Linked DNA regions of Lytechinus pictus. The protein of the gene in region 2 interacts with the protein of the main gene of each other region in a pairwise test. Links are inferred from orthologs where the notes say so. Each region holds a gene or a part of one and is shown on either strand. Other genes may lie near its edges. The genes, in order: spectrin alpha chain, non-erythrocytic 1-like; exocyst complex component 1-like; girdin-like.

The links.
Region 1: the proteins of exocyst complex component 1-like (region 2) and spectrin alpha chain, non-erythrocytic 1-like interact in a two-hybrid assay, tested with the Homo sapiens proteins (2 studies listed by BioGRID and IntAct). The link is inferred for Lytechinus pictus from reciprocal best matches to the Homo sapiens genes EXOC1 and SPTAN1.
Region 3: the proteins of exocyst complex component 1-like (region 2) and girdin-like interact in a two-hybrid assay, tested with the Homo sapiens proteins (2 studies listed by BioGRID and IntAct). The link is inferred for Lytechinus pictus from reciprocal best matches to the Homo sapiens genes EXOC1 and CCDC88A.

The regions. Positions count from the first base shown.
Region 1 is NC_087259.1:29,335,757-29,346,839, forward strand, and holds the start of spectrin alpha chain, non-erythrocytic 1-like, read left to right. Parts: upstream 1-6,038; 5' UTR 6,039-7,099; intron 7,100-8,843; exon of another isoform or gene 8,844-9,205; intron 9,206-11,083. UniProt on the Homo sapiens protein: Fodrin, which seems to be involved in secretion, interacts with calmodulin in a calcium-dependent manner and is thus candidate for the calcium-dependent movement of the cytoskeleton at the membrane.
Region 2 is NC_087249.1:53,891,438-53,902,341, reverse strand, and holds the start of exocyst complex component 1-like, read right to left. Parts: upstream 4,019-10,904; 5' UTR 3,966-4,018; intron 1-3,965.
Region 3 is NC_087251.1:45,617,852-45,627,900, reverse strand, and holds the start of girdin-like, read left to right. Parts: upstream 1-4,975; 5' UTR 4,976-4,980; coding exon 4,981-5,220; intron 5,221-6,022; coding exon 6,023-6,181; intron 6,182-6,958; coding exon 6,959-7,241; intron 7,242-7,735; coding exon 7,736-8,804; intron 8,805-9,299; coding exon 9,300-9,615; intron 9,616-10,049. UniProt on the Homo sapiens protein: Bifunctional modulator of guanine nucleotide-binding proteins (G proteins). Acts as a non-receptor guanine nucleotide exchange factor which binds to and activates guanine nucleotide-binding protein G(i) alpha subunits.

The DNA.
Region 1 (11,083 bases), on a different chromosome or scaffold from region 2:
AATTCTACACACATACATATGTTAAACGAGATACAATATACAGGAACAACTTTTCTGGATGCAGTAGTAGTGTGTTGTCAAATGTTTAAGGTTTTTTTTTTAATGTTTCCTTAATTTTTGAAAGTTTTATGTCATATTCACAAAACTTAGACATAACAGTACTGGGGGTGTTTCACAAAAATTTAAGTATGATTTAGAAGCACACTTAAATGCCTAGTTGTGTGCCTTATAAAAGGCATGACTGCATTGGTCAGTGGACGCGCACTTCTGCTTATTAATCAAAAAGATTGCTTATCATGTACGCGTCGGTATTTAAGTGCAACTTTAAGTCACATAATTCTTGGTGAAACACCCCCCTGGTAATATCTTTATCAAATTCTGTCAATTACAAGGGTGAAATTGTAATGTAAGAAAGTCATTACTGCTGATGTATGATTCTACCGATTTTAGCATTATATATGTGCTATCTGCATTACTTCAGAAGTGATCAGAAACAATTGGATAATATAAATATTTCTGACCACTTCTATTCCGATCCGCTAAAGGGCAATTCTATAAAATATGTAAGTCCGACCCCCTATATGTGGGACCTTCATAAAATTTTCTGTCTTTGATTTCTTGTTGTTTTGACAGTCTGTAATGTTCTCTAAAGGACCGTGACTAATAATCAGTTTATAAAGTAAAGTAAGACTTGAGAAAAATGGGGGGTGGACGTAGGTTGAGCATTTTATGGAATTGCCCAAAAGTTGGAACCACCCCCCTCCTTTCAGTTGAAACAGCATTGTGAAGAATATGTACTTTACTGAGGAGAAACCGTTCATTGGAAATGAGCCACTTCCTCCAGATCCTGGAGCTGATTATGACAGGACAAAGGATTAAGAGGGGAAAAGGTGGATCTGAGGACAAAGAAGATTAAAGTGACTCTAAACAAACTCATTGTACAACAAGGCTGTGGACTCACTGTGAACACCTTTTGTATCTTTTGAAAAGATCCATGGGTAGCTTCACAACAGAGCTTTGTTAACTTCCCGAGACTGAGCTGCCCACCCCCTTGGCCTACACAAAATACATTGGCAATAATTACAGGATCACAAAATAAGAACTGGTGGAGGATACATTTGGATAGTTTTGGTGTAGATTTGTGACAATTATAAGGAATAAAATAACTCAGTAAGTTTGTTTCTTTCGATTAAAATCAGCTATTTTATGATGTTATCTGACCTGTAATTCTTGAAGTTTGACGATTAATATGTCAGTCACATTTCCTTTTTGGCCACCATACGGCGAGTTGAAAGCAGCCGTTTTATCTTATTTTATTCAAGCCAATTATATGAAGCTGGTACAAAAAATGTTAAAACGGCTGTTTTCGACTCGCTTCAAGTTTTGAATTGCTAGATGTATGCTCTGTCTCCATGAGAATTTAATTTTGACCTACATGTATTTCGATCTTTGTGTCACTTCCTTACTACAGTATAGTGTGAATGTAAGCTATTGGATACAAGTAGGTCTTGTGTGTTCCAGAGAAATTCTTTAGTCAGACTATTTACCCACACCCAATGATTATGATTTGAAGTTTTATGAAATCTGATGAAAAGTCAAGATGTTGAGAAATTTATACAATGCAATTATTTCTTAACCCGGCCCTCCCCTCAATTTTTTGTATTGGAGTACTTGGAAGAGTCCTTAGCTTACATACATCACTATTTCATCACATATGTAGCCAATTTGAAGTATCCATGGGTTTAGTGGTTACCAATATATTACATTTTTGAAAATTCATAACTTTTGTATTGTTTGCCCGATATTGTTCAAACTTTCACCTATCAACTTGTCTAATTTTTAGTTTTCCTCTATAAAAACAAGTTTTTATTTGGGTTGGATTCTCCTTAAACTGTGTTCTACATGATAACCCAAACTGAAATATTGAATGTTGCAATCTGGTTCCATTTAAAAAAATGAGCATTTTGATATTAAAAAAAAAAGCTAATAGAAATCAAAGTGATTGAGTAGGCTATCTGATTTAGCATCAAGAAATGATCACAAGTCGTTCTGGTATTGATAACAAAAGAAGAATAATTCTACACACATACATATGTTAAACGAGATACAATATACAGGAACAACTTTTCTGGATGCAGTAGTAGTGTGTTGTCAAATGTTTAAAGTTTTTTTTTTAATGTTTCCTTAATTTTTGAAAGTTTTATGTCATATTCACAAAACTTAGACATAACAGTACTGGGGGTGTTTCACAAAAATTTAAGTATGATTTAGAAGCACACTTAAATGCCTAGTTGTGTGCCTTATAAAAGGCATGACTGCATTGGTCAGTGGACGCGCACTTCTGCTTATTAATCAAAAAGATTGCTTATCATGTACGCGTCGGTATTTAAGTGCAACTTTAAGTCACATAATTCTTGGTGAAACACCCCCCTGGTAATATCTTTATCAAATTCTGTCAATTACAAGGGTGAAATTGTAATGTAAGAAAGTCATTACTGCTGATGTATGATTCTACCGATTTTAGCATTATATATGTGCTATCTGCATTACTTCAGAAGTGATCAGAAACAATTGGTTAATATAAATATTTCTGACCACTTCTATTCCGATCCTTTCCTTTTTGGCCACCATACGGCGAGTTGAAAGCAGCCGTTTTATCTAATTTTATTCAAGCCAATTATATGAAGCTGGTACAAAAAATGTTAAAACGGCTGTTTTCGACTCGCTTCAAGTTTTGAATTGCTAGATGTATGCTCTGTCTCCATGAGAATTTAATTTTGACCTACATGTATTTCGATCTTTGTGTCACTTCCTTACTACAGTATAGTGTGAATGTAAGCTATTGGATACAAGTAGGTCTTGTGTGTTCCAGAGAAATTCTTTAGTCAGACCATGGACTATTTACCCACACCCAATGATTATGATTTGAAGTTTTATGAAATCTGATGAAAAGTCAAGATGTTGAGAAATTTATACAATGCAATTATTTCTTAACCCGGCCCTCCCCTCAATTTTTTTTTTTTTTTTTTTTGGGGGGGGGAATCGGGAAGGGTAAAAGTGGCTGCACCCCAGTCTTGGTCTGCAGGTTCAGACCCTTCATTTTCGCAATTCACATAGTGCATTATGCAGAGTCTGAAGTAGTGAGACTAGATTCACTATCTCCTGTGGCTGGCTCTTATTTGACCCAGTCTTTGGAGTCTAGTCTTCACTCTAGACCTGTTATTGGTCAAACCGTCTAATATTAGTCTGTGCCTGCAGACTACCCCAGTCTTTGCCAGTGGGTACATACATGTAGGCTACATATACTTCATACTTGAAATGAACATTACCTTGGATATATGGATTTAACAGCTGACAACCCACTTACCAACTGTGATTGGGTTTTTAATTGAGCTGAGTCAAAGCATCCAGTCAGACCTCAGAGCTGTTTTTTGTAAGTTCAGTCATGGGTCACCAAACTTAAAGGTACCGAGTGGGGGATTCCTGCAGACAAGATCATGTTAGCCCTGCATACAATGTAGGATATAACTGGAAGTAGGCCCACAAACAACAAACATGGAAGTTGCGGGTTCAAAACTCTGCCGTGGCACTGTTGTGTTTGAGCAAAGCATTAATATCTACATCGCTCTTTTGGATGGTGATTTTAAAGGTTGATCCCAGAAGTGAAAAACAAATCATATTTGATTGATAGGCCAACATAAATAACTGTAAATACTAAATTACACATTACATTACTACCATTAAGAAATGACATGACATGGAAACTTCAATGAAAAGACAATAACATTATATACCTGTAGGTTTGATTCAGACGAAAAAGCAACTCAAATTACAGCAAGCCATTAAATGCAGACAGCCCTAATCCAATTAACCAGGCAAAAGGGAAATGATGATGATAACAAATATCAACAAAAATAAAAATCAGAAACATGTATCATGAACGTTGTTGACTTTTCTAATGGCCATAGCCTAGGATGATATTGTGCTTTTCATCACATTTAATGTGTTTTGTGAAGGCAGTGTGGTCTGTTTTAAAGAAAAAATATTTTCTCTGTGTCATTTCTCTAAAATATTCTAGAATTGTGATTGTACATGAATACTTTTAAAGCCTGTATGTGCATCGGCCTACATTTACTTAGACCCAGCTCTCATTACAGTTCTAAAACCAGTTTAGTGGAAACTAGTTTAACTTGTGATGGGGACACTCGAAGTACTGTACACCTCGAGATACATTGTATGGTTTTCTAGACCGCTCTGCCTCGTTAAAGTTCTTGAAGCATAGATGAAGAGAAGACACAACATATCTTCTGGAAGCGATCTTTGCGCATTGTTGGGCGCGCTACTCCGTACAGTACATGTACAAATGTATGTAGAATGTCTATGCTGCAGTTTCAAATTTTGCTTGAAAAATGTCACCACACTGAGAGCATTCCCCTAGCAACAAGACTGCTTTAGGCGAAGTGGTTTTGAAAACCACTTTCACGTGATCAGATACATTAAGGAGCACTTACAAACTGGTTTCCTAAACCAGTTTCCACTAAATTAGTTTATGATTGTAATGAGAATGGGGTCTTAGTGTAGGGAATCTCATGCACATTGTGTATAGATCATGACTTGTTGCAATTTTTAACTGATAAGAGTGTGATACAGGGTTACCTATATGTACATGTACTGCCTAGCTTAGCACTAATATGTGCAAAATATAGCAGCCAACCATCTGCAACTGTCAAGTCTGACATCATTGTTGCCCATGGCAACAACATTAATATTCAGTCTCAGACTGGCTCTCTTGCATGCTGTGTTATTTATTGAGGGCCCAGTCAGCGGCATGATATCCCCTTTGTAATTTGTTCTACATTTTTGTTCCTCTCTCCTCTTTATTATTAAAGGTCACATTTCAATAACTTGTAAAATTGTTTAATGAGAAATATTTTCTGGCTCTTGAGCTGACCGAATTGTAATATTGTAAAGTGGAAATTTACTTTGGGGGTAGACAAATTGAAAGGATAATGTTCTTTGATGCAACTATTCTTTACTGTGCAGTGGCATATCAAGGCACTCAGGGCACATGCTATCATTGCATCCCTATGTGATACCCGGGTGAGCACAGAAATTGTGTCTGTTGTCTTGACTTGTGAGATAATTCATTAGACTTTTGCTTTTTTTTTCTCTCTCTCAAGCTCTGCTTCTCATTCCCTCCCCTCTTGCCCCTTTTTTTAGCACTCCTTGGAAGTGGGGCCTAAGGCTTGTCCCACCTTTCCCCGAGATTTTCCTCTGATCCTCTGGTTATAAATAATCGTGACACAATTTTTACTCTCTACCTTACTCAATTGATTATTTTTCAGATTTATTATTCTATGTTCTGATTAATGTGCATTTAACATTTAACATTTTGATGGAAGATGCTCTTTTGTATGTGATCTGCTTTCATTGCCCCCTCCAGTCTCATAGATTGTTGAAGATTTGTGGGTGTGTTCTAGATTCCCTTTTTATTTGCCTGGCTTTTTCTATTATTCTTTTCATTGGCAGTTTTTGCATGTCCATCTCTCTCTCTTGCTCTCTCTCCTTCCCGTCTCTCTTTCTCTATCTTTCTCACCTGGTACTCTATCCCTGACTTCTGTGTGTCTCTCTCTCTGTCTCTCCCTCCTCTCATCTCTGTCCTGGTTTTCTATCTCCCCATCGCCAGACTCTGCCGAGTGCTTCAGCCAATTTTAAGAAGCTGAGGAAAACAGAAAGCATTTACTGTGTCCCTTCTCTGTAAAGTGCTTGCTGGTTTAAAATGCAGGTGGTAGACTGGTATTAATTTAGTTGAATTCTAATCAGTTCAAATTGAGCCTGGAATGCTGAAATAAGCCGTGTGGACGTCATTAGCAAGAAGGAGAGAGAGAGCGAGAGCTAGACAGCAGTGCATCAGGCAGTTGATGCAGTCTCAGATTGCTTTGCTTGCATAACCTTAAACTTTCAGATGCCTATTGCATGTGTATGAGTGTTAAATATCTCTTTGATGATGTGATGGTTTCCATCAGGTACATGTAGGAGTCACTGGAGTGGATTGGTGAAGGGAACGCATCTCTTGCGGGTTTAGCATCATTGCTCAAGCGGAATATTTGACAGCGGATTTCTTGGAAGTATGCTCCATTCATCATGCGTACATGTATCTTATTAAAAGCATCTTGTACTGTTGCAGAGATTTACTGATGCCTGAATCTTGGAATATTTATTAATGACTTTGAATTACGCGTCAATCACAACTATACACATATGTGTACTTGTTGCATCCTGAACAATGTTCTTCTCTTCATCATGCATGTGGAAATGAATCTTGTTTTGTTATTAATGAGAAAAATATGAATTACATGATGTAGCTTCACTCTGGAAAATTTGTTATTCACATTGTTCTCTCATCAGACGGAAGGACAGGAATCACAGTATTGCTTGTTCTATTAAAAATCTCTGTTTTTGTTTTCTGTTTAGTGCTTCTAATGACAAGTTTTATGTCTTGTGCACCAGTTGCTGCAGAGATCTAGACCTGCTTTTAACATTCTCAACATCTCTTGGAAAGCCATGCTCTGTTTGAAGATAATGTAGATGTACATGTATCCCAATTGTACATGTACAGTCTAGTAGCTTTTAACAGCTCTTTGACATGAATATCAGCATACTGTAGAAATTGATAATTGAATGATAATGTGCAATTCTTTGTATCACATCACGTAATGATATAAGGTCTCCATTCAAGTCGCTGTCTGCTAACCTGATTAGCCAAGGAGGAGACACTTGTGCAATCAGAACACACTTGTGCATTGTGGCTCCTGCTTGAATGCTTAATCATCCACCCCTGACTCGAAGACCCTGCGGTCCTAGCTGATGAGTTCTTACCAGCAAGGACGCTGACGTCATTGAGACTGTCATTGCGACTGTCGTTGAGTGTGTCATTGTGCATAGATACATGTAGAGGGTAGGAGTGGTGCTATGCCAGTGTGTCCTTTTCTTGATGACCACCCAGATCTCTTTCTCTTACTCATCTTATGCCTTGGAACGTTGTACGCTCTTTGCTACCTGCTATCCTACCTCATCCTCTTCCTCATAGAGCGCAACAGTAAGTGAGATACATGTTCATCTCATGGATTTTGAAGGGAATTTACTCCCAAAACCGATTGTTGAATGTACATGTACATGTATGTATTAAAAGCTATGTTGTGGAATGTGCATACATGTATGGGTGTGTATTTGTATGTGGGCACCATGTATGTGTCCATCGCTACACAAAAATGATATACACCATACAGCACATATGAGCAAAGGATTTTGAATGAAGGGGTAGGACAATGTGTCAAAGGGTCAAATTTCTTTGAAAAAAATGCCTTTTAAATTAAAACTATAATTTTGTGATAGATTTTGACACAATAATCAGAAAATTGTATTTCACCCATTTTCCTTCCCTTTTGTTCCCTTTTCATCTCATCCTCTTTCTTTGTTGTGGAACTTGTTTTAGGAGGGGGGGATAGGGAACAAGTGCCTCCAAGGTCCACCCCCATCTATGCACCAGAAGTACATTGCTATACAGTTACAAATACATTGTAGGCCTATGGACCTTCATGTAGGATTATATTTTTTATTACCGTTATCTTACAGTTTTGTTTTTCTTATCAGTTTCTGTAATCATGTACATGTAGGCCTATATCATATGTTTCTATATTATTCTGAGAACTACAATTTTGTACAATTTTCATATCTCACAGATTACACATTTGTCCCAATGTACATGAATGCATATAGATCTATAATAAGTTGTTTGTACAGTGTGCTTTGACCTTTAATCAGATATATTGGCATTATTAAATTCTTGTACCACTGTAAAAACGGATTCCTCTTGAGAGCTGTACATTTTTAATATGAAAAATGTATAAATCAGAATACACATGTGTCCTGAAGTGAGGTGACTCTAATGTTTGAACAATTTAATCTCATAGAACTTTAATGGGATTATTGGCATAATAAATTCTTCACTACAGTACAGTTTAGCCTCATTTTACAGACTGTATCAAAATGTATTATTTTTCACTGGTTTCATAGTGAATTCTGAATCACATTGGGCATTTTTATACACTGAATGCTCTTGTTTTTGGGCCTCAATAGCCTTGCCGTTTTGCCTGTTATTTTCGTGTCCTTTGCATTGTTTCGTATTTTGCTGTTATAAAAGTAAATGCACCACAGAAATGTTACCTTCGGTTATTTCAGACTTATAAATTTATATACTGTAGGCCTATGATTTGTGATAATTGTAATAGTGTAACATTTTTTTTTTCTTTTTTGAACGTGAACACGTACCTCATTTGTTTTCTTGAGAATTTTTCATTTAATTCACAATACATGTATATAGAGATAAGTTTTTTTGCTGTTTACGGATACAAAACAAACAAGACTCAGTAGGAGGATACTATCTAGAGATGTGACTCGCTAAAAAAAAGGAGAACAGAATCTTTTGTTTTCATATTTTGCATGTTTGTGGGGTTGGGATGTAAAGGGACAAGGTTCAAGTTTGAAAGTCAAAATATAATCTAAACTTAGTAGGTTGCCAGTAATAACCAATAATAACATATCTGTACCTGCTTTTTGGGCCGTTGTTTTAGGCGCTACTAAAAGCGAAAATTACTATCATAGATTAATTTTCATTATCCAAGGCATTGATGAGAAAAAAAAAACATAAATAAAAAAGAAACTGTACAACTTAAAGAAGACTAACGATTGGAACTGTATTTACCAAGAGGGGGGCATATTGAAAAGGTCCACACACACTCAACGCACCTATAGAAAATATACACGCAGTACGTCATGCACACACACAGTAGACATGCAGTACAAGCATCAATGCACACACCAGCATTCATCGTGGGATACCGTTGAGGTATTTTATTGAGCGTTGGTTGGTTGGGAGCTACATGTTAGCATTCTCGGGAATATACCACGCACTCTCCGCACTTTGAGTGAATACATTACATTAGATTCTACAGGCTGATATCGAGCCTTACCCATCTCTGAGCTGCTGAAAGGGAGTGGCATTGCTTTGGTAATGATAATACATTATTGGCCCCTGCGTAGCATCTCTCACATACAGGGCCTTTTGAAAACGGACATCTCTGCGATCTCGTCTCAGTTTACCTTCTCTTTCGGCGGAGCAGACACAAGATCTTGTTTTTAACAGGTAGGAGAAATCAGAATCATCAAAGTTAAAGATCTGAGCTGGGGATTTATTGGTATCATTTTTTTTTTTGGAGAGAGATATGTCAAATAGGATGGATTTTCAAGGCATTCTTCATGATGCTGAATATTTTGGATGAGTATAACTTGTCTTGGAATCAACTAGTATGAATAATTTTCATGATATACATGTACTGTACCCCTTTACTCTAGTACAGACTTATTGAGTGATGCTTTCTTTTACAGGTATTGAGTTATTCTGATTGATTATTGGTATGCAAGAATGAATCTATTCTATTCTTCTTTGCCTGGATCAGTTCATTCTCTTGATCAAGCCTGTGGTATTTCATGACAGCTTCCATTTCATTGTGGTTGGAGATAAATGAACCGCAACCTTGATACCATAAGGCAGAATATACTGTACATGTACACATTAACTGAGCTTTACAAATTGAGGCCTATATAATTATTTCATCTGACTTTTTTTTTCTGATTAAGTGTTCAAGTAACTCAATATGCATGATATTTTTTTTAATTTATATGTATATTTGCATTCAGACATGGAAATTTATATGAAAATATGTTCCTGTTTGAACTGCTTACAAGAGGCAATGAAAATATTTTATTCTCTAAATCAGAGTTTCAAATGCAGATGAAAGAAATGAGCTTGGGAGGAGTTATTTTATTTGCATCTTACATGTAAGTTTGAATATACAACAAGAAGAAAAAAAAACAGGAGAATGGTCTGTTGATTAGCACTTGATACCAACTTAAGGCTAGATATATATGTGCATTTTGATCCCACCGCTGCCACCAGTTGTAACATTCCCAAAATCACTCTTCCATTCTGCTGATCCTGTGAATCAGGTTATGAATTAATATTTTTGTCACATTAATGTACTATCACATGGGTTGTGTGTTATGTTCACAGTACAGTACAGTAATTACATGTATATGCAATATATCAGAATTTTTTATCACTTAGCCTAACTCCCACTCATCATATAATTTGTCATAATGTACATGTAGGAAGAGTTGGCTCATGTCTTGAAGAATGATTCTGTGAATCAGGTTACAATGTATTTTAGGAAAGACAGGAGCAGTAGCGATGAAAGACTGGAATATGTCATCCAAGCAAATAATCTTTGTTGAGAATATTTGCATGTGTCATGTAAATGGCTCCATGGAAACATGTGCTTTTGTATGTGACAGTGTGAGGCATTCCAAGAAACATGATCGTTAATAATTTCTTAGTCTGAAATTCTCATGGTTCCTTCTGTAGAGTTTTTGGCTGACTTCAGACCTATGTGCATGTATGGATGGTCTGTTAACAGTCATCATATGAAACTCTTTAAAGAAAGATCCCATAACTCAGTTTACATGTAGATGCATTAATTTTTCTGTGATATAGAGGAAATGCCTTATACAGGAAATTCTGTTAAGTGGGTGTGAAGAGCCAGGAAGGAAATATTTAAAAGTGCATGTTACTCCATAAATATACCAAACAAATATTGTTTCCATAGCAACATGAAGCAGAGAGGGAAATTTGATATTCAAATGGAAACTATGTGGAATACCAGACAGTTTTCTGCATGGTCATGCATGGCTTGAACAGTTTTCAATAAGGAAAAAAATGAAATGCAAAATTTAAAATTGCTGGGGTGATTTTGCCCCAGACATGCTAAAAAAAAAACCCTGGAAACTAAACCAAAAAAGGAGCACTTCATGTAGATCGACTAGAAATTCATTGCAATGTTAAAGCATATAAATGTTGCAGATTAAGACAGTAAGACACCATTATCATTACGCTTTCTAAAACTACATATAGTTTACTAGAAACTGGTTCAGGAAACCAGTTTGGAAGATCACTTTGCTAGTGTTC
Region 2 (10,904 bases):
TGAGAATATTCTTAATATAGATTGATGTGCACAATTGAACAAGAGGATTTCAAGGAACATGACAAAGGGATGGAGAAAGGGGGATAAGGGGGAAAAGAGAAAAAGAGTGGTGTGAGAAAGAGATCTAGTTAGAAGAAAATAATGTGCCACTTAAGAAATAAAAGTATAAAAAAATATTCATCTAAAATCACATCCATGACCATGCATATTTATAACACACAAGTCTATGAGGTGTTTTAAAACACGTTTTTTTTGTAAAAAAAACGGGTGTTTTAAAACGCGTTTTAAAACATGTTTTAAAACACACCGTTTAAAACGTGCCAACCCTGGGTCTAGGAATGCAAACTATCATACGTTAGTCACGTGACGTTGTACACAGAAATATGCCATGTTCTGCCTGCTCGATCTCAAAGTTTTGGGGAAAAATGAGATGTAACCATTATACCAGTCATAAAGTATTATACATCAAACTGTAGGTAATCTATTTAGCATTGAGATGACAATCAATCTCGACCTCTTTGACCCTTAGGGATATTCCATTGGGAAAACAAAGGTGCCAGGGTCTCGAAAATATGGGTGCTTTCAGACCGTTTGCCATAGCAAGAGTTGTGAACATGGACACTTTCAAATGAACAGCGAGACGTAAATAGTGAATTAATTGTAATAATATTTACATCAAATTAATGGAATTTGATAAAATTTTCACACTATTATCAATCTGGTGTGAGATTATTAATAATTATAAAGATATTCCCGGATTTCTGCAATATTACGTCCATGAAAACCACTGTTCCCTGTGTTGAAGCTGTGTGTGTGGACTTTCAGACACTCAAATGCACGCGACTAACCATTATGATACTTTTAAAAGAGGAATGACCTCCAGAATTCAAGCGCGAAGCGCCAGTAGATTTATGTTGAAGTTTAGACCTAGAACAGGGACGTTGAACCTTTATAATCATGAAAAAGATGGTATTTTTATCAATAAAACATGGGAGTCTAATTTTGTTTTAGTGTTAATATTCAGATCTTCAAACTTGACATTTTCCTATCCCCTTCATCATCCCCTCTCCTTCTCCCTTTCCCCATTTTCGTTCTCCCTTCTTTTCTTTTCTTCTCTCCCTTCCCTTTTTCGCTTTTCCTTTCCCTTCTTTTCTTTCCTTTCTCCCTCTCCTACTCTTTTCTCGCTCTTTCCATTTTTCTTTCCCTCTCCCTTCCCCTCTTCCTTTCTTTTGTTTTCTTTCTATTTTATGGTCTCCTTTTCCCTCTCTCTCCTTTACCTTCCCCCCTCCCCTGATCTGTCTTTTCTTGTCTCTCCTTCCCTTTCCCGCCCCCTCCATTCCCTTTCTCGCTTTTTCCTTTCTCTTCTTTTCTTTCCTTTCTCCCTCCCCTACTCTTTTCTCGCTCTTTCCATTTTTCTTTCCCTCTCCCTTCCCCTCTTCCTTTCTTTTGTTTTCTTTCTATTTTATGGTCTCCTTTTCCCTCTCTCTCCTCTACCTTTCCCCCTCCCCTGATCTGTCTTTTATTGTCTCTCCTTTCCTTTCCCGCCCCCCCCCCATTCCCTTTCTCGCTTTTTCCTTTCCCTTCTTTTCTTTCCTTTCTCCCTCCCCTACTCTTTTCTCGCTCTTTCCATTTTTCTTTCCCTCTCCCTTCCCCTCTTCCTTTCCTTTGTTTTCTTTCTATTTTATGGTCTCCTTTTCCCTCTCTCTCCTCTACCTTTCCCCCTCCCCTTTTCCTTTCCCTCTCCTTTTTTGTGCAAACATTAACACGAACATCTTGCTTCCTACACACACACACAAACGCCCGCAATCTAACACACGTAATGCGAAACAATCGGGACATTATCATTTTGTTCATATATATATATGTATATTTTCTCAATGAACATTTTCATCTATTTAAAGCTTTGAAAATTATTAAACAATGATTCCATAGGCGAAATCTCAATGATCATTAGGAAGGTACTTTACCCATTTTCATTTTATGTCATTGTGATTATTCCAGACTAAGGCAACATATTTTGGATATAAAAATACGTGAAGGATATGTTCCTCTTCTGTTTTATACTTTAACAGAAAACATTTTGTTCAACCAAATTATGATTTGTATTTCCAAGTTCCATGTAATATTTTCATTGGAAAATCTCTTAAAGGTCAAGTGCACCCCAGAAAAGATTGCAACCTGTTGATTTTTGGTACAATTTCCTATTATGCGCCGACGACTTGAATCGAGAATGTTCGATAGGAAAATTTCGCATTTCGATTGTTGTTTGCGTAATTTCCACCGCAGTATGAGGATGACTAAGGACGGATCGAACGAAGTATCCTGGTTGAGATTTGGAGGTAAGCGACAAAAACACTTTAATAAATAATTTATAATTCCTTTTTCAAATAAACTTAAATCATACGATCAAGATTAACATAGTGGACAAATAGGCGCTAGTGTAGTTTCGCACCTCCCCGTTTAATGGTTTTCAAACATGTACAATCTCACCCTAAATAATTCACAACCTAAATACTTGCATCTGAGCCTCCAAAGTCCAGTAGAAGTTAAATATTTGCCGCTTTGACACTTTTTTTTACAAAGTTTTACACCTATTTCGGAATCACTCGGTCGCTTGAAGCTCAGCGCTGCACATAGGCAGTCGGTACGCGTACAGTACGTACCACCTAGGCCTAGTGAAGTGCAAGAAGAGCGAGTTTTTCTATGGTATCTTCAAAAAGATTTTTTTCCCCTCTTTCAGCTTGCACCAAGTATTACGGTAGTGGTTGTGCAGAGTGGTTGATGTTTGTTGTGTGAAGGTGTGTGTGGGGTGTGCGTGTGTGTTTGCTTGTTTGAATGAAATAAGAAATGTGAAAAACCACTACCGTAATCACTAGCGTACCTACGGGGGGGGGGCAGGGGGGGCACTCTGCCCCCCCCTGACGAGTCACAACCCATGCAAAAACGTATCTTTGCCCCCCCCTGACGGACTTGAAAAAACCTTTTTTGGCCCCCCTGACGAGCTTGAAGACCTCTTTTTTTTTTTTTTTTTTTTTTTTTTTTTTTTTGCTTGTCAATTTTTTTTCTGGTACGAAATCCTTTATTTGTGATCGAAGACCTTTTTTTTTTTTTTTGCTTGTCAAATTTTTTGGGGTACGAAATCCTTTATTTGCGATCGAAGACCTTTTTTTTTTTTTTTTTTTTTTTTTTTGCTTGTCAATTTTTTTGGCGGACGGTTTTGCCCCCCCTGTGGAAAATCCTAGGTACGCCACTGACCGTAATACTTGGTGCAAGCTGAAAGAGGGGAAAAAATCTTTTTGAAGATACCATAGAAAAACTCGCTCTTCTTGCACTAGGTGGTACGTACTGTACGCGTATCGACTGCTTATGTGCAGCGCTGAGCTTGATCAAGCGACCGAGTGATTCCGAAATAGGTGTAAAACTTTGTAAAAAAGTGTCAAAACGGCAAATATTCAACTTCTACTGGACTTTGGAGGCTCAGATGCAAGTATTTTAGGTTGTAAATTATTTAGGGTGAGATTGTACATGTTTGAAAACCATTAATTAAAACGGGGAGGTGCGAAACTACACTAGCGCCGACAAATATTGAAAGGTTTGGCGTAGTTTAGTCCCTCACATTCGTGTGATGAATGAAAACGTCAAAATGCACTATGAAATCACATGTGTTGTGCGAGGTTAGTATACTAACCTCGCATGTTGTGTGAGTGGAAGCCGCCTGGCTACAGGGCCCCAGGCCCAGCCAGCCGAGCCCGTAACTTCACCGGCCCTGGCCGGCCCGCGTTATACCTCTCTTCGCTGTTATTAACACGGGCTAAATTAAGTTCGTATTCAACAGTATCTAGCGCGCAAATTTGTTCCACGAAATCCTCATATTACCTGCAAGCACATAAATAATTATAATTCCATGTGGCACCTATAATCATCTTATATTTATCAAAGAAATACTGATTAATTTCAGTGTTTACCTGGCTTACTTGGATGCAGGAAGTTCGAAGGAAACCGTACACTGACTTCCGCTGCGCTGCGCGCGCGCGCTGGGTCGATAGCCGAGCGCGCGTACACGTTGGATCGATACGGGTGATGTGATGGAGGGGATGATAATGATGATGATGCCCGGTGCCCGGTGATGATGATGATGATGATGGTGATGGTAATGATGATGATGATGATGATGATGATGATGGTGATGACGATGATGATGATGATGACGATGATGATGATGATGAAGATGATGATGATGGTGATGATGATGATGACGATGATGATGATGATGATGATGATGATGATGATGATGATGATGATGATGATGATGATGATGATGATGATGATGATGATGATGATGATGATGCATGATGATTATGATTATGATGATGGGGATGATGAACCAGGATAATAATGTCAATCCCGGTCATGATTTCTGAAGAGGTACCGATATATGGATAATGCTGGTTATGATATAATGATGAATACGGGGGTGACGATGTTGAGGGTGATGGATATGGTGTGGTGACGGTGGTGGCCAGTGCTGCTGATTCCTAGCACTGCTGTTGCATGCTGCCTCTGATGATGATAATGACACTGTTTTTCATAACATTGAAAGTAATATCTAGAGCAGGATGTTAAACTTTGGTATAAAATGTTTTATTTAAATGTTAGTAGTTTTGAGTTTCAATATATTCAGTAGTTTCAATATATTGTCTACTCTATCCACTAGCGTACCTACGGAGGGGGCAGGGGAGCAGTCTGCCCCCCCCCCTGACGATCCACAACCCATGCAAAGGACGTATCCCTGCCCCCCCTGACGAGCTTGAAAGACCTTTTTTGCCCCCCTGACGAGCTTGAAGACCTTTATTGCCCCCCCCCCCCCTCGCTGACGAGCTTGAAGACCTTTTTTTTTTTTTTTTTGCTTGTCAATTTTTTTTCTGGTAGGAAATCCTTTAATTGTGATTGAAGACCTTTTTTTTTTTTTTTTTGCTTGTCAAATTTTTTGGCGGACGGTTTTGCCTCCCCTGTGGAAAATCCTAGGTACGCCACTGCCTCTATCATTATCATAATCATAGTGTTGTTTCTATATAGGCTATCTTTGATTTTTAATATCATTCATGAACAATTAAGCGCAAGCTTATGTTTTTCATACAGGCCCTACTGACCAAATAAATGAACATTTTAGGTGACTGTTATATTTTGTGAAAACATGGGTGGATTGATGAGTTCCCTTTTCTTATTATGTTATTACATGAAATCATAATTATTTTATCAGTTTTTCATGCATGTGTGAATGATTATAATAAAATAAGTAAACTAGCAGCAATAATGTCTCAGGCCTGGAATATCTCATGCATTAAAGCAGTTGTCAAACCATTATTTTAGTTCTTGGAGGAAAAAATAACAAAGACAAAAGGCAAGTGGGATGTGATTAATTTACTCATTGAATATTCATGAAGTCAAGCATAAATTACTGTTTCACTGAAATAATGCAATTTTTTAAAGTGTCATAACTTTGTTATTCCTTCTCCGATTTAAATCAAATTTTCAATGTTCAAATTGTATTAATTTAGCCTGGAGTAACCCTTTACAAGCACTGTTTGTATCATGAACAGCACACGTATCCGAAATGCGAGCATTCAGTTTATATGACATATACAAAGATAAATTTTAAGGATTTTTTTTAGAAATTCATGAAGAGGAAAGTTTTCTGACCAATGAAAATGCGAGCGAGCAGCTCAAGCTGACTTTTTTCTCTTCAAATCTAAAAATTTGATAAATAATTGACTGTTTTAGGACTTCTACAGCGCGTCCCCAAAAATGTCCCTCTGACATAGGGCTGAATTAATTCTAAAATGTGGTAGTATTCTCAAAAAAATGTTCATGAGTAGAGCTCACTTCATGATCTAACTTCTATGAAAATTTCATTGGTTGCGCTTCAGCGGTTTTGAATACTGTTATACGTAACAGTGGTGCATTTTAGCCCATTCCAAGTTTGCAGCATTGATGCATTTCTGTATTGTCTATGGCATATTAACCCATCACATTCTTACATCCAGGATCTGAGCAGGGACATTTCCCTAATCATATCCAGGCTCATTAAATCATAAACTTTGGTATGTTCAGAAGAAAAGAAACATAAAAAAAAATTAAGCTTGTTTGATGATTGATAAGGGGAATCAGTGCACCAACTTGGAAAGAAAATGTGAATGATGGATGAGTAATATAAGCTGAAAAATAAATGGGAATCCACAAGTTAATCACCCTTTGCGAAAAGGAACTATACCAGAGAACAATTTGACTTTTTTTTCTTTTAAAAAGTTACATCGAATTAAATTGACCACAGTAGCTTATTAAAGGGATGGTCCGGGCTGAAAGTATGAATAACTTAATAAATAGAGTAGAATTCATTGAGCAAAATGCCGAAAATTTCATCAAAATCGGATAACAAATAACAAAGTTATTGAATTTTAAAGTTTAGCAATATTTTGTGAAAACAGTCGTCATGAATATTCATTAGGTGGGCTGATGATGTCACATCTCCACTTGTTCTTTTGTATTTTATTATATGAAATTAGGTTTATTCAAATTTTTTCCTCCAAGAACTAGAAAAATTGGATTGACAACTGATTTAGTGCATTATATATTTATTGCTGCAACTTATTTCATTATAAGGGAGACATATCATTCACACAAGTATGAAATAATGAAAAAATTATGATTTTATGTAATAACATAAGAAAACGGAAAGTGGAGATGTGACATCATCAGCCCACCTAATGAATATTCATGACGACTGTTTTCACAAAATATTGCTAAACTTTAAACTTCAATAACTTTATTATTTGTTATCCGTTTTCGATGAAATTTTCGGCATTTTGCTCAGTGAATTCTACTCTATGTATTAAGATATAAATATTTTCAGCCCGGACCATCCCTTTAAGTAAAAATAAGTAATAAAAACAAAAATGCAGTATTATAGGCATGAAACAGACATGACCCGTTGTATTAATCATTGTGCATCTCTTAATTGTTATCAAACGTGAAATGAACTGTCAAATATTGTTTTTGCCCTTCTGAACATGCTCAAGGTTGTGATTTGATGAGCCTGATTAGATGATGGACATTTCCCTGGTCAGATCAGGGAATTCCTTGGTCAGAATGGTCGAAGGGGGCTGATATGATATGTGCAGAACACACAGCAGTGCTGCAGGCATGCAAACTTGCAATGGACTAAAATGCACCACTGTTACATCATAGAGCTCTATGGTTACATAATAGACTGTGTATTCAAAATTACTGAAGCGAGACCAATGAAATTTTTATAGAAGTTAGAACATGATATGGGCTTCCTAGTTTCATACATTTCACTGAGAATAATTTTTATTTTTTGAAGTAATTTAGCCGCATATCAGAGGGACATTTTTTTGGGACGCGCTGTAAGGTGTGTAACTAAATGAGAGCCCGCAGCGCGAGCGAATTTTAATTCAGATCTGAACAGGGGCGGCGGAACCAGGGGGCAGGGGACAAGTGCCCCCAAAAAATTCTCCGTAGAAAAAAATCCCTTTTTTCAAACTAATGGAAAATGCCCTTTTTCAAAATGAAATGTGCCCTTTTAAAAATGAAATACCCTTTTTGAAGCAAAACAGCAAAGAGTTATGGTGGTAATTCAACAAATACCCCAACATGGCCAAAGTCCATTGACCTTTGACCTTGGTCATGTGACCTGAAACTCGCACAAGATGTTCAGTGATTCACTGAATATCTTGTGCGAGTTTCAGGTCACATGACCAATTAAGGTCAAAGGTCAATGGACTTTGGCCATGTTGGGGGTATTTCTTGAATTACCATCATATATCTGTAAGTGTATTGATCTAGTTCATAAAACATGAACATAAGAGTAACCAAGTATCACTGACTTGGTTACTCTTATGTCCATGTTTTATGAACTAGATCAATACACTTACAGATATATGATGGTAATTCAACAAATACCCCCGACATGGCCAAAGTTCATTGACCTTAAATGACATTTGACCTTGGTCATGTGACCTGAAACTCGGACGGGATGTTCAGAGATACTTGATTACTCTTATGTCCAAGTTTCATGGATCAGATCCATAAACTTTCAAAGTTGTGATGGTAATTCAACAGATACCTCCCACAGGGCCAAAGTTCATTGACCTTTGACCTTGGTCATGTGACCTGAAATTCGCACAGGATGTTCAGTTATACTTAATTACTCATTTACTCTTATATTTAAGTTTTATGAACTAGACCAATAAACTTTCAAAGTTATGATGGTAATTCAACAGCGCCCTCAACTTGGCCAAAGTTCATTGACCCTTTATGACCTTTGACCTTAATCATGTGACCTGAAACTCGCACAAAATGTTTAGTGATACTTGATTACTCCTATGTCCAAGTTTCATGAACTAGGTCTATATACTTTCTGAGTAATGCTGTCATTTCAAAAACTTAACCTTCGGTTAAGATTTGGTGTTGACGCCGACGCCGCCGCCGCCGCCGTCGGAAAAGCGGCGCCTATAGTCTCACTCTGCTATGCAGGTGAGACAAAAACGAAGAAAAAAAAAGTCCGATGGAAGCAAAAAAAAATACTGGTTTAAAACAACGAAATGATTCAGAGAGTTAAATGCGTTTTTGGCCAATCAAGTATTTATCGCAGGAACATTATAATATACATGTATTTTGTATTTATTGTATTTTCTTATATACAATGAATATTTTATTGGCAAAAAACACCTCATGAACTCTCTGAAATATTTTGTTATCATGAAACGTGAAACTGTTTTGTTTGGAACTAAAAACGGGATATTCTCATTTCTTTAATACGGTGTAGTGACCCGGGCCGTCGCTAAAGGGGGTGTGGGGGTGCGACAAAAAATGAAAGAAATGAGGAGATGAAAGGGGGAAAAAGGAAGAGAAAAAGAAGAAAGAAAAAAGCAGAGAAAGAAGGAAAAGAAAAGCAGGGGCTGTTGGACCGACGGAAAAATGATAAACTGTCGGGTCACGCAGATTAGAATGTACGTCTTCATCTATACCGACAGTGATTAGAATGTCTAGATTTGATCAAGTCGGAATATCAAAATTTGATGAGCGTTGTACCCTTCGTTTTCATTACTGATTACAAGAAGTGCAAAAAGAGTGTTGCCATTTTAAAGTCGAGATTTAAAAGAAAAATCAGCTTGCATTTCGCGCTCGTAATAACTATTTATTGAGATACATACATCCTGATCTTTATGAAAAAACACCGTTCTTAGAATGTCCAATTGTCAGGTCTTAATGGATATCCAATGTCTTTTATTGTAAAAAAAAAAAAAGGTGCTTAGTATACATGTATATCCATTTTCATATCGGAAAAAAGTCAGCTCGCGCTCCGCGATATCATCAAATAGTAATGTATTTTTATTGAAATACCCATCCTGTTCAAGGTTACATTGCTTCGAATGTCTTTTTTTTTTGGTCTAAATTTACCTCAAAAGTTAAGCTGGCGCTTCGCGCTCGCATCTTTAGTGAGATTTATATATCCTCTCCACATTTTCCCTTCATATTGGAAAATGTTTAAATTTTCCCTCAGAATATCGAAAATTTCCGCTCTCGCATTAAGGTACACATATTGTTAAATTGCAAAAGGGTGAAACTATTAAGTTTTAAGTCAAAATTTTATTTGTTAAAGTCAAAATATCAAAAGTGGTCAGCTCGCGCTGAACCGACAGTGATTAAAATGACTCTTTTTAAAGTCAAAGTCTCATCATATAGGGAAATCAATATTCTCTCCACAATTTTCCTTTATGTTTGACATTGCTCAAAATTTCCCTTTCGGGTCAGTACTATGCCAAAATTTCCACTCGCGCTTCGCACTCGCATTATGTTTTTTGAGGTACACAGCTTGTTCAATTGCAGATGCAGAAACTGAGTTTGTTTTAAAATTAAATTTTTTTAGTTTTCAAGTTAAAATATCCAAAAATTTAGTTAGGACAAATCATGAAAAAAAAACAGATTCTGGCGGCCGCGACGTAGAAAATGCGGATGAAAATATTTTCGCCCCCCCCCCCCCCCCTCCCCATTTATGAAAGCCGGAACTGCTCCTGGGCATGACGTAAGAAAATGTGACTAAGGAGAATGTAGAACGAGAACAAGATTCATGGTCGTGGGACGTCGGTTATCGGTACTGATATTTGTCGGTAATCAGGGCCTCCACACCCTTTACTGAAAAAGGCCCCTGATAGCGACCTGACATTTTTTTCTAATCTTTATACTAATCTCCCCTTTTTCTATTTTTCCTTATAATTTCCCCCTCCCCCCCCCCCCCCACTTTTCTCTTTCTTTTTCGAGCGCGGCGGTCCCGCACTATGGATCACCTGTGCGCTTGTCGAAACTCAGTTTTTTACTAACAAATATTTAAAAAAAGTTACTTTTCAGCGTTGCACATTAATTTTGACATGTTTTTCAGTTGATAAAATTGAATTCAGTTTTTGCAATGTTCGGTAGTTTTATGGCTGTACACCATGGCCCATCGTCACATTTTAATCTTACGGTGATGCCATATAGAAATGGACGAAAACAAACAAATCGGGGCCATGCAGAGGCGTAACAGGGGTCGGTGGCCGGGGGGGGGAGCCAAACAATTCCTGGCCATACAGTGGTGTAATGATCATTTTTGAGGGGGTCAGATATGGCGTATCGTACAGAATTTATCTTTTATTTGGCCTATTTGCTCATAAGTACAGGGACTTGCGGTCTGACTGTTTGTGACAGATTTTGACATAATATATTCAGAAAATAATATATTTCACCCCTCTCTCTTTCCTTTTTTTTTTGGTCTGCATATACATGTACGCCAATGTGAACAGGATTGTGCGCGAAAAAGAGGGGCACAGTATGACGCATGTGCCAAA
Region 3 (10,049 bases), on a different chromosome or scaffold from region 2:
GCAGACCATATTGATGTATTTTAATTCCCTGCAATTTGATAGAGTGGAGCAATTGAGTAGAATTCCCCAGATGCATATATTTGTACCAAAACTTTTGATATGAAGTTCATTGAGAGGCAAGATGGGGATAAAAAAGAAGGAGATGGGTGTATAGCAGGAGATGAAAATTCTGGTATACCTTTTCCTAATATTTACTTCAGAAGTTCAGATAAATGTATTTATTTTCAATAAAGATATTTCCAATATGAAATTGTGGATATACCTGGGCCTCCATAACATAAAGCTAGGTGGTTAATCTCATCCGGAGCTGATTTTTTTACAATTGATCATACACAATAATCAATGCAATTAATCATAGAAATCAACCTTATGATCAATCAATAGGCTTTGTGTTAATGGCCCTTGCATGGTGCCTATGAAGTTTATACTATCTATTTCCAGTGAATCTGTATCTTTGGATGAGATATATTTCCCAAAAGTGCATTGCCATAAAAGTCAGGTTTAAGTATCTGGAATACATCAGTTGTCAGATATATGCTCTGTAATGTGGCATTTCTCCCAGGCGTAAGGGACCAAACCACGAATTTTGATGTCAATTCAGATTCTATCGACAAGGCCTATACTGTGGAACTTCTCCCCACAGGGGCCAAAGTATGATTTTTGATGTCCATTTAAATTCCAATGAATCATCGTGATCATGCAGGTGGTCTGCCAGCGGAAAATGCTTTATTGGCCTACATGCAGACATGTATATTTTGGCCTGCATTTTATTTTCCATCTCTTCAAAATGGCTGTCAGATTTTTATAAGCCTTATGTTTCGATTTGAAAGCTGCTGCATTCATCACAGCAATGGCAATTGCCGTCACCATCATCATTTGGTAATTTTACTTGAGAGCAAAGAACAAATTATGCCTACATAATATAAATAAAGGAAACCTATTATGTAGCCTGACATAATTTGAGACCTCTGCAATAATTGAAGCACTATCAGGATTGTGAACCAGAACTTTCCTTGTATTTTTTCTATTAAAAAAGAAAGTAAGTCACATCATTCAATACTATCTAGGCCTTCTTTATTTGCTAGTAGTTCATGCGGCTTTTCATAATAAGGACCGCATGATTGTGTAATTGACATTTATGTTTTGGAGGAGATTGTTATTCATTCAAAATAGTTATGTAGCGCTGACTCAAAAAAAGGAGGGGACCTCTGTGTTTGGTGTATGTATGTCGCCATGACAATCATAAGTCATCAATATTTTATTAGATTACTCTACATTTGGGTATTCCCTCATCAAGTCTTAAGTTGAATTTCGAAAAGGAAATAATCTTGCTGTAGTTGTAACAATTTATCCTATATGCCTTTCCATTGCAATCGTTAGTTCAAATAGTTGCATGCAAGTCTCACATTGTCTACAATTGATACAATCAAGTTATATCCTTTGCAGAGAAAGGGGGGGGGGGCGGGTGCCAATATTTTCATAATGGAAATAAAAAAATGACTGAGCTTTGCTCTTTTGAATAACGACATGCATTCAACTTTTTTTTCTTGCTTGTTCGTATATAGACTTAATCTCATCAATCATATACAACGTTTCCCTTTCGGATCGATGACCGTAATGCTACTCAACTTCATGTAACATGTTACTGTTTACTTGTAGCTTTAGAAAGAATCGTGAAAATATTTCATCAACCATGTGCAAACAACTTCCAGCCGTACCAAAAAAGTTTATCAACCGGAAATAGTGGCATAGTGGCACAATATCTGACTTCAACTGTTCACTCTTGGTAACATTTTTTTTTACTCCTTAATGAAGCACGGGAGATTGACGGGTGTCAAAGGTCGTGATACAGAGACTGATCATGTGGTCTAACCTTACATGATTCACAAATTTTCTTCTCTCGCGAGTCAAAAGGTGCTTTCAGACCGACTCGATCACCAGAATACCCATAGCTCCATTATACTTTTGTTTGCATATTACAAATTTACAGTGGCCTTGATGTTTTTATTTTTTTGTTGTATAATTTCTAATTCACTTTTGTCTGTATATTTCAAATTTTCTACATTGTAAAGCACTTTGATATGGATCTCATGAAAAGGGCCCTCAGACTCAGTTATGATTGATACAGTTATGAGAATTTGATCCGGCCTCAAAATACCTGTTTCTGCATTGATACTCGCCCGATTCAAATCCTTTCAGGGAAAGTTTTTGAAGTTGTGAGCGTGGCCAGTATGGTCTTAATTGTTGACGAGGTGCATGATTCACGATTGAGAGCTCATAGCAAGCTGGCAACCCAGGTGCCACATGGTGCCCACAGCCATTGTACTCACTCGGATTTGAAAGTTCTCCATATTTAGACAAGTACCTACTATTTAGTTGGTATTTTCATTCAGAAATATAAAAAATTATTTGCTTTCACAATGGCAAGAATACCTGTTTTTTCCGATTAGTGTAGATCAGGATAAATTTACTGATCAGGGCCCTGTTTCATAAAACTTGTTATTAACAATTTTTCAATAACAGTTAAAAGCTACTGAAATCCTTCACTCTGATTGGCTGACAGTAAATTTGATATCGAAAGTGTTCATTATTACAACAAGTCTTGATGAAATGGGAGTAGGATAATACCTGGTATTCTTTGTTTTGAAGTCAGACTGAAAGCACCTCAATAGGTTCATGTGGTTTGGATTTCAAACTGAGAGGGTGACAATGACTCCTGTTGTTGCTGCTAATATTCTGCAAATGTTCTTGCCAAGACCCCAGAGGGGTGGTAATTGGGTGCAAAGGGCCCAAGAGTTTCGACTGATGTCTGTATGAGTTTTAAGATTAAAAGTGGTCTTGTGTTTTATGAGTTGGGCGTAACGGAAGTGCAACCAAAGGATATGTAGCTGATCAATAGCAAAAGAATCGGCAACAGCAAGAATACTAAGAATAAACAACAAGGAAACTAGCATTTGTGTGTCAAAGTTTAAAAATAAAATGCAAAGTTACTTTGCAAAATGTTTCCTGTTATGTGAAAATAACTCCCATCTTGAATATCCTTATCTTTCATTTTCTTGAATTCTGTCTTTGGGGGTGTTGCAAGAAAATATTTGCAATCAATCGCAAATATTCTGTTGCAATTTTACAATTGATTGATCACTTTTAACAATATCAAATCAGATTACACTCCTTGTTTCATGGAGCAGATTAGCAATCAATCGCAAATTTACAATTAATTGCACGGCATATGTTTGATTTCGGGAACGAAAATAGACTTGCAATTGATCGCAAGTTTCTTGCAACGCCCCATCAGTTTATTTATTCACATTTGCATGAAACATATAAAAATACAATTCAGTCACATCTGCATAGGCTCCTTTAATATTTCATCAAGAGAGACTCCTTTGATTGAATTGATTAATTGAAATCATTTAGGATGAAACTAAAGCATCTTAGTGTGAATTACGTGCAAAAATCTACATGCTCACATACAGCACATAGACGTCACAAATGAAACTAAGCCATTTATCTCCTTAGCTTTTATTAATATCTTTAATCAGCCACTTAATCTTCATCATTACATGATTTGATAATGCAATCGAATTCATAACAACTACTAATGCAAAGGTATATACTTTGGTATATATTCTGAGAAAGAAATAGTCAACTTCCTTGTATAAAACATAAACATTGCCTGGCTAGTGTGTTTGGCAGAAAAGTGGAAAAGGAAGTTGGTTGTTTACTTCAAAGCTTGTTATTTTAATTTTTAAGTAATTTAATGACAGGTGCTTAAATGTCATTTTTTTATTTTTATGCATCACATATATATGCTTTTCACACTGCATTTCCTTAACCCCATACTATCCTTAACCCCGGACTATCCTTAACCCCATACTATCTTTTTTTCGATTCACACTGTCTTTCTTAACCCCATACTATCTGCTCAGCCGGGGATAATGCATTAACCCCGGACTATCCCTCAGCTCATGAATATTGATGATTTTACCATACAGAGCGTGATTAACGTGCAATTCTACTTCCGTGATTGGCTAAATGCTTAGCCCCACTTTCCTTAGCCCTGTTGGTTTTCACGCTGCATTCTCTTAGCACCGCAATTGTGGTGCTAGCACCACAATAAGCCGGCTAACCCTGCTTTTTTGCAGGGCCAGATAGTACCGTACTATTTACCGTGCTAGCCCACTTTGCTAAAACGTAGTGTGAAAACGAAGTGGGCTAAGCTTAACCCCGGGAAATTGGTGGGGCTAAGACCCCCCCTTAGCCCCACCAATTTCCCGGGGTTAAGGAAAAATATTGCAGTGTGAAAAGCATAATAGAGGATCACTGAAGATTTTAATTGCATTGGTCTGATGTTATGGGAAAACATTCTGTTTATCTCAATCCAAGAAAAATGTACTTGTTTTGATATGTGGTGTTTGAGAAATAAAATATTTTCTGATTAGTTAAGTCCTTTCTTTAATCACTAATCTAAGCACTAATCATTTAAAGACAATTTCAGGATTTTGTGGGTGTGTTTTGTGACACAGAAACTTACTCAAAACTTGTTGATTTTTTTTGTAATTGCGATGTTTATAGGTCAGAAATATGTTTAAAAAAATAAATGAAGTTGAAAGAAATGAAAGCATTTGTTTTTTGTGGGATCATATTGAGTATTTGCAGGCATTTTTGAATTCAGAAAGAAAATACCTGCATTTGCAGTTGCCATGTATGCTCTATTGACATTTTGTTCCCATCAAAAAGATGTACATTAAATAATAATCATAAAACATCACAAACATAGCATTCACCTTTATTCTTTTTTTTTCAAAATGTTATTCAATAACAAATAATGCTGATAATTAAAAAAAGAGCTAATTATAGCAGCCTTTAGGCTAACCTTATATCTTCAAAAATATTAAGATGGGAGCAAATTGTTGCAGGGGCATATATTGGATCACTTTCCGTTCATTATCCATTCATCCTTTTAACCCATAGACTATCATGGAGCTTAGTCAAGAGAAGGAGTACCTCCAGTCTCAGGCAGACGGGCGTGTCCTCTCCCCTTCCCCCTCCCTGACGAGCCCCGGAACGGACAAACGTCATGTGACTGTTGAGCTAGCCGAGTCCAAAGCCAAGCTGAGGAGAATGAGGCAGGACCTGGAGGAGAAGAATGAGATGGTTCTGGAGTACAAGGAGGAGGTGGAGAAGTATAATACCACCATGCAGAAGTTACGGCAAGAGGTAAGCCACAAAAGTTTCAAATATTTAATCCTAAGTTTTAAACTTATTTTCATTTACCCTGTGGCCCGTCAGATGTAAGATACATTTAGTTAACATCGATCTCAAAATTGAAAATTGGAAAAATATAATCTGCCAATATAAGCATGGTGATTTGTCGATTCAATTACACATGCATCTGTGCATTCTCTTTTGAAAGCACTGCTTACAGGTTCTGCACGTTGTAAGTGACGGATTATGGACTCACTGGCCTTCCATAAATAGAACTGAGATTAAATCAACCTCAGACCTTTATTGGTTTGCACTCAGTTATTATGTAATCCGTGTAATATTTGCCTTAAAAATGTATTTTTACACTTAATTTTCTACACTGGACCATGTTAACAGGGTAGCAAACCCCATTAGCCATGACTCTTTAAAGTAACCACTCTTGAGTGTGTCAAATATGTTTTATTAATGTGGTGAAAGTGAAACTTATTCAAATTATTTGGTATTATGTTTAAATATAATTTGTTCTTTTGAATTGATGTGGATGATATTAATGTCTGCTGAAGTGAAGTGATGAAGTATTAATATTATTTATTAATGTCATTTATTTATTTATTTATTTATTCATTTATTTCCAGTTTCATGTCAACAGAGTAACCTCTTGAGTTGACAAACTGCTATCACTGAGGGCCCTGTACCATGTTTTCTTTACTCATTCTTCTGATCAATGATTGACTTTACAATTGAGTTTTGAAAACTTGATTTGTCATTATAATCACTAATTCAACCTTATTTATTAATATTTTTGTTTTGCCAGAATCTCGAGTTGACGCAAGATGCGCGTTCAGCGAGAGCGTACAGGGATGAGCTCGACGTGTGGAAGGAGAAGGCCAGCAAAGCAGAGAAGTACGAGAACGAGATCGCCAAGTACAGGGAGAAGCTCAATGAGCTAGAGTATCTCAAGAAAAGAGTCGAGGTAAGGTTGCTTGTTTATGAATTTGTGTTTTCAGGGATGCCACTTTTCAGAATTAAGTCTGAATTCAGACCTTTTCAACACATTTCAGCCATTAGAATATGCCTTTTTCATGTACATGTAAGAAACGGGTCATTCTAGATGACGTTTAGACTTTTTGTATCAATTCCAAGTGGCATCATGTTTTATGCCATTTTTTCCTCATTGGATGATAATGGCTTTGAAGGAGAAGATTAATGTAGAAAAATATAAAAAAATTATGTTTATTTTGCTGTCATAACACGGCTCTTTAGAAATGCTGTTGAAATTTCTTCTATCAAAGCCATTTCTTGTTGCATCACTTCGTAAAGGCCATTCCGTAGTGTATGTCCATTCCACCCCCTGTATTTGTCTTCTGTTTTCTAGTTTATGTGAAAGGGTTTACTGCTCTCAATTATAATGGCTTGAGCAGATTATAGAGTGAAGAAAAAATGGAAAAATATTAGGGGTCGGACATACAAAAAGTTTGGATTATTTTATTGAATTGCCCAGTTGGCGTTGTCTTTTCAAGACTTCCACAGTTGCATAAAGCCACTTTCACATCTTCAGTTAACCCTTCTTTAATTATCGATATGAAAACCAAGTCCCTCTTTTTATGAGCAGGTCACCACCGCTAACGACAAGCTGGAACAGGGCCACCTTGCCGAGGCAGAGTGTCTAAGGCTAAAGGTCCAGATAGAGTAAATCCGTACAGAAATTGTGCTTTATACATTCACAATTATTACTGTTGTTATCCATCAGGAATTAAAAGAAGACAACACGGTTCTTTTGGAAACCAAGTCCCTACTGGAGGAGCAGGTCACCACCGCTAACGACAAGCTGGAACGGGGCCACCTGGCCGAGGCAGAGTGTCTAAGGTTAAAGGCTCAGATGGAGACGCTAGAGGAGGAGAGAGATATGGACAGGGGTAGGATAGCAGAGCTAGCGGAGGAGGTGGCTAGGCTGAGTTTAGACCATAAACAGAGTCTCAATGAGTCGGCCAGTCTGGGTGTGGAGCTGGAAAAGGCAAAGCTAAACTCTTCAGGTATGTTGGGTTCAAGGATTTCTTTTTGCCAGAAAATAAAAGTAAAGTTAAGGTTTATTTAAGTTTATTCTTGTCATATATCATTCTTTAAAAAAAAGCAAGGTCCATGTATACTTTTAGTTTATTTTTTTAATTAACTTGGACAGTGTTTCTCCTGGTTCACCCAATCTTTTTTAAAAGATGCTGGAATAGAAAAAAGTAAAATAATGGTCTTTAAAGTTTATTCTAGTCATAAAGCAATGTCCGAAACGAGGTTCAATACACTTTCAATTTATTCTTCTGGTTATCTTTAGCAATGCTTCTTCCAGTTCATCCCCTCTTTCAAAATTTGCTGGACTGGGTCAATCTCCACTTCTTTGTGTTTTGTCTGATTTACAGTTAGTCAATTGATATACTCTCATGAAAAGTATTTCATTCCTTTATCACTGAGTTTTTTTTATGGAACTTTGCTTGAATAACAATTTGTTTCAATGCTTTTTGTCCAAATTTAACAGCTGCTGCATCCTTGTCAGCAGAGTGCAATGATAGTGCTTCAAGTAAAGTGCTCAAATTAGAAAAAGAATGTCAAAGACTCCATCGCGAGATGGAAACAATGCGAGAATCTGCCGGGTTAGAAGCGCAGACTCGGCTCCTCGAGGTCGAGAAGGAAAATCAAAGACTCAGCCGGAAGCTTGAAAAAGTGCAAGAGGCCAGCTCCAAGGAGATGTCTGGTCATCTTGAGATTGAACAGGAGAACAGTGTCCTGAAGCGAGAAAAGAAGGCTCTGGATGACACCATCTTGACCATCAAGGAGAATTCTGAGAGGTATCAGAAAGAATGGGATACGGAGAAAGAGCAGTTGGAAAGGACGATAGAAACCCTGCGGGAAAGAAATAAAAAGGATGTCGACCAGAGGATACAGGATGTTGAAAAGGAGAACAGGAAGTTGTTGGAGGACATGATGGATAATCAGAGTAAACTGTCCAAAGCGGAACACGAGACAAAGCAATTGCAGAAATCGTTGGAGAGATTGAAAGAGAGGACAGACAGGATTGAGGACTTGGAAAAGAGCAATGAGGCTCTGGAACTGGAGAAGGAAAAACTATCGAGGAATGTTGAAATGCTCAAGTTGATGTGTGAAAAGTTTGACGAGGTGGAGAAGAACAACACGGAGCTGGAGGTGGAGATCAGCAAGGTGACGCGGGCGCTGGAGTCGGCCAAGGTCCGCATCCAACGTCTGGAGCACCTGGAGAATGAGAACGTGAGGTTGAAAGCGGACACCCAGACCCTGCAGAGGTCGCTGGATGCCATGAAGGGCATGGCAACGCGGATCACGGAGATGGAGCACGATAAGGAGGAGTGCGAGAGGGAGAACAGACAGCTCCAGAACATGGTGGAGGGGATCAAGACGGTGCAGGACAAGGCGGGACAGCTGGAGGTGGATAATATGAAGCTAGGTAATGAGAAGAGGAGGGTGGAGAAGGTGGTGGAGCTCAACAAGGATACCATACACAAGCTGGAGAGGGAGAATGAGAACCTGGAGGCAGAGGTGGAGAGGTTGAAGAAACAAATTGAAGCTCTCAGGTAAGTAATGTATCCTTTAACCTAAACTTTTCAAACCTTTAATCAAAGAAGTAGGACTATGGAATAAGATTGATATATAAAATAAATATCATTTGATGGTTATAATTACAAATTGAAATCATAACAATATACATGCAGTGATTCCTGCATTTTAGCCTTCAAACGAAAGTCAATAACTCCTCGATCATCTATTTTCCCCAAATATATATGTTTAAAAGAACGTACAATATCTGTCCTAATGTTTACTTGAGAGTTCTCTACTTTTGGCATTAAAGATATGCAGGTACACTTTTGTGAAAGGTTGTTTGGGAAGGTTGTTCGTGTATCTTTCTTTCCAATATGTCATGATACTTGCATCGAGGAGTCATTGAATTTTGTAGCTGGCAAGCTATGATAAACATTCTATATACAATTGACATTGATACATTTGATGTTGGTGGCAATTAGTTTCTATGAGCTCAGCTTTCTATTCCTGCCACGTTCCTTCCTTCACAGTCTGAGTGAGAAGCGATTGGAGGAGCTGGAGAAAGACAACAAGACCCTGGAGCTGGAGCAGCAGAACCTCACCAAGGAGAAGCAGAACCTGGAGAAGGAGATCAGGCGTCTCCGGGGTCTGATGGAGTCCAGGGACCAGCAGCTGGACAAGGCCCATGCCAGGATCGGCAGCCTGGAGCAGGACAACAAGCTCCTGCAGAAGACGGTCGGCAAGAACAAGGGATCCGGGGACAGGGCCAAGGAGCTGGAGAGGGAGAACAAGGAGCTACTTAAACAATCTACTATCGATAAAAAGACTCTTGCCACACTCAGGGAGGTAGGTTTCGGCGCAGTGCTACAATCACACCAGTGAAGCCAAACCACAATGACAAATACTGTTATGTTATTCCCAATGACAGACAATGGCCCGTATTCTGAAGTCAGGTTTAAATTAAACCCTGGTTTAAAGTTGTGGTTTAAGTATGGAGAGCCAATCGGGGCACAAATCCATAACAGTACATATCCAATTTATTAACTCAAATTGTTCATAAATGTCTGGGAATGATTACTGAAGTATTTTGAAGTATATTTCCTCATTATGAAAGTAAGAGGAATCAAAATAGTAAACATAAGAAAAATACAATATAAACAATTTTTTTGAAATATTGGCTCCCCATGATTTTAGCACAGAGTTAGACCGTGGTCTAAGTTAAACCCGACTTTAGAATATGGGTCATAATATGTTGGTTTGGAGTACAAAGATGAGGATCG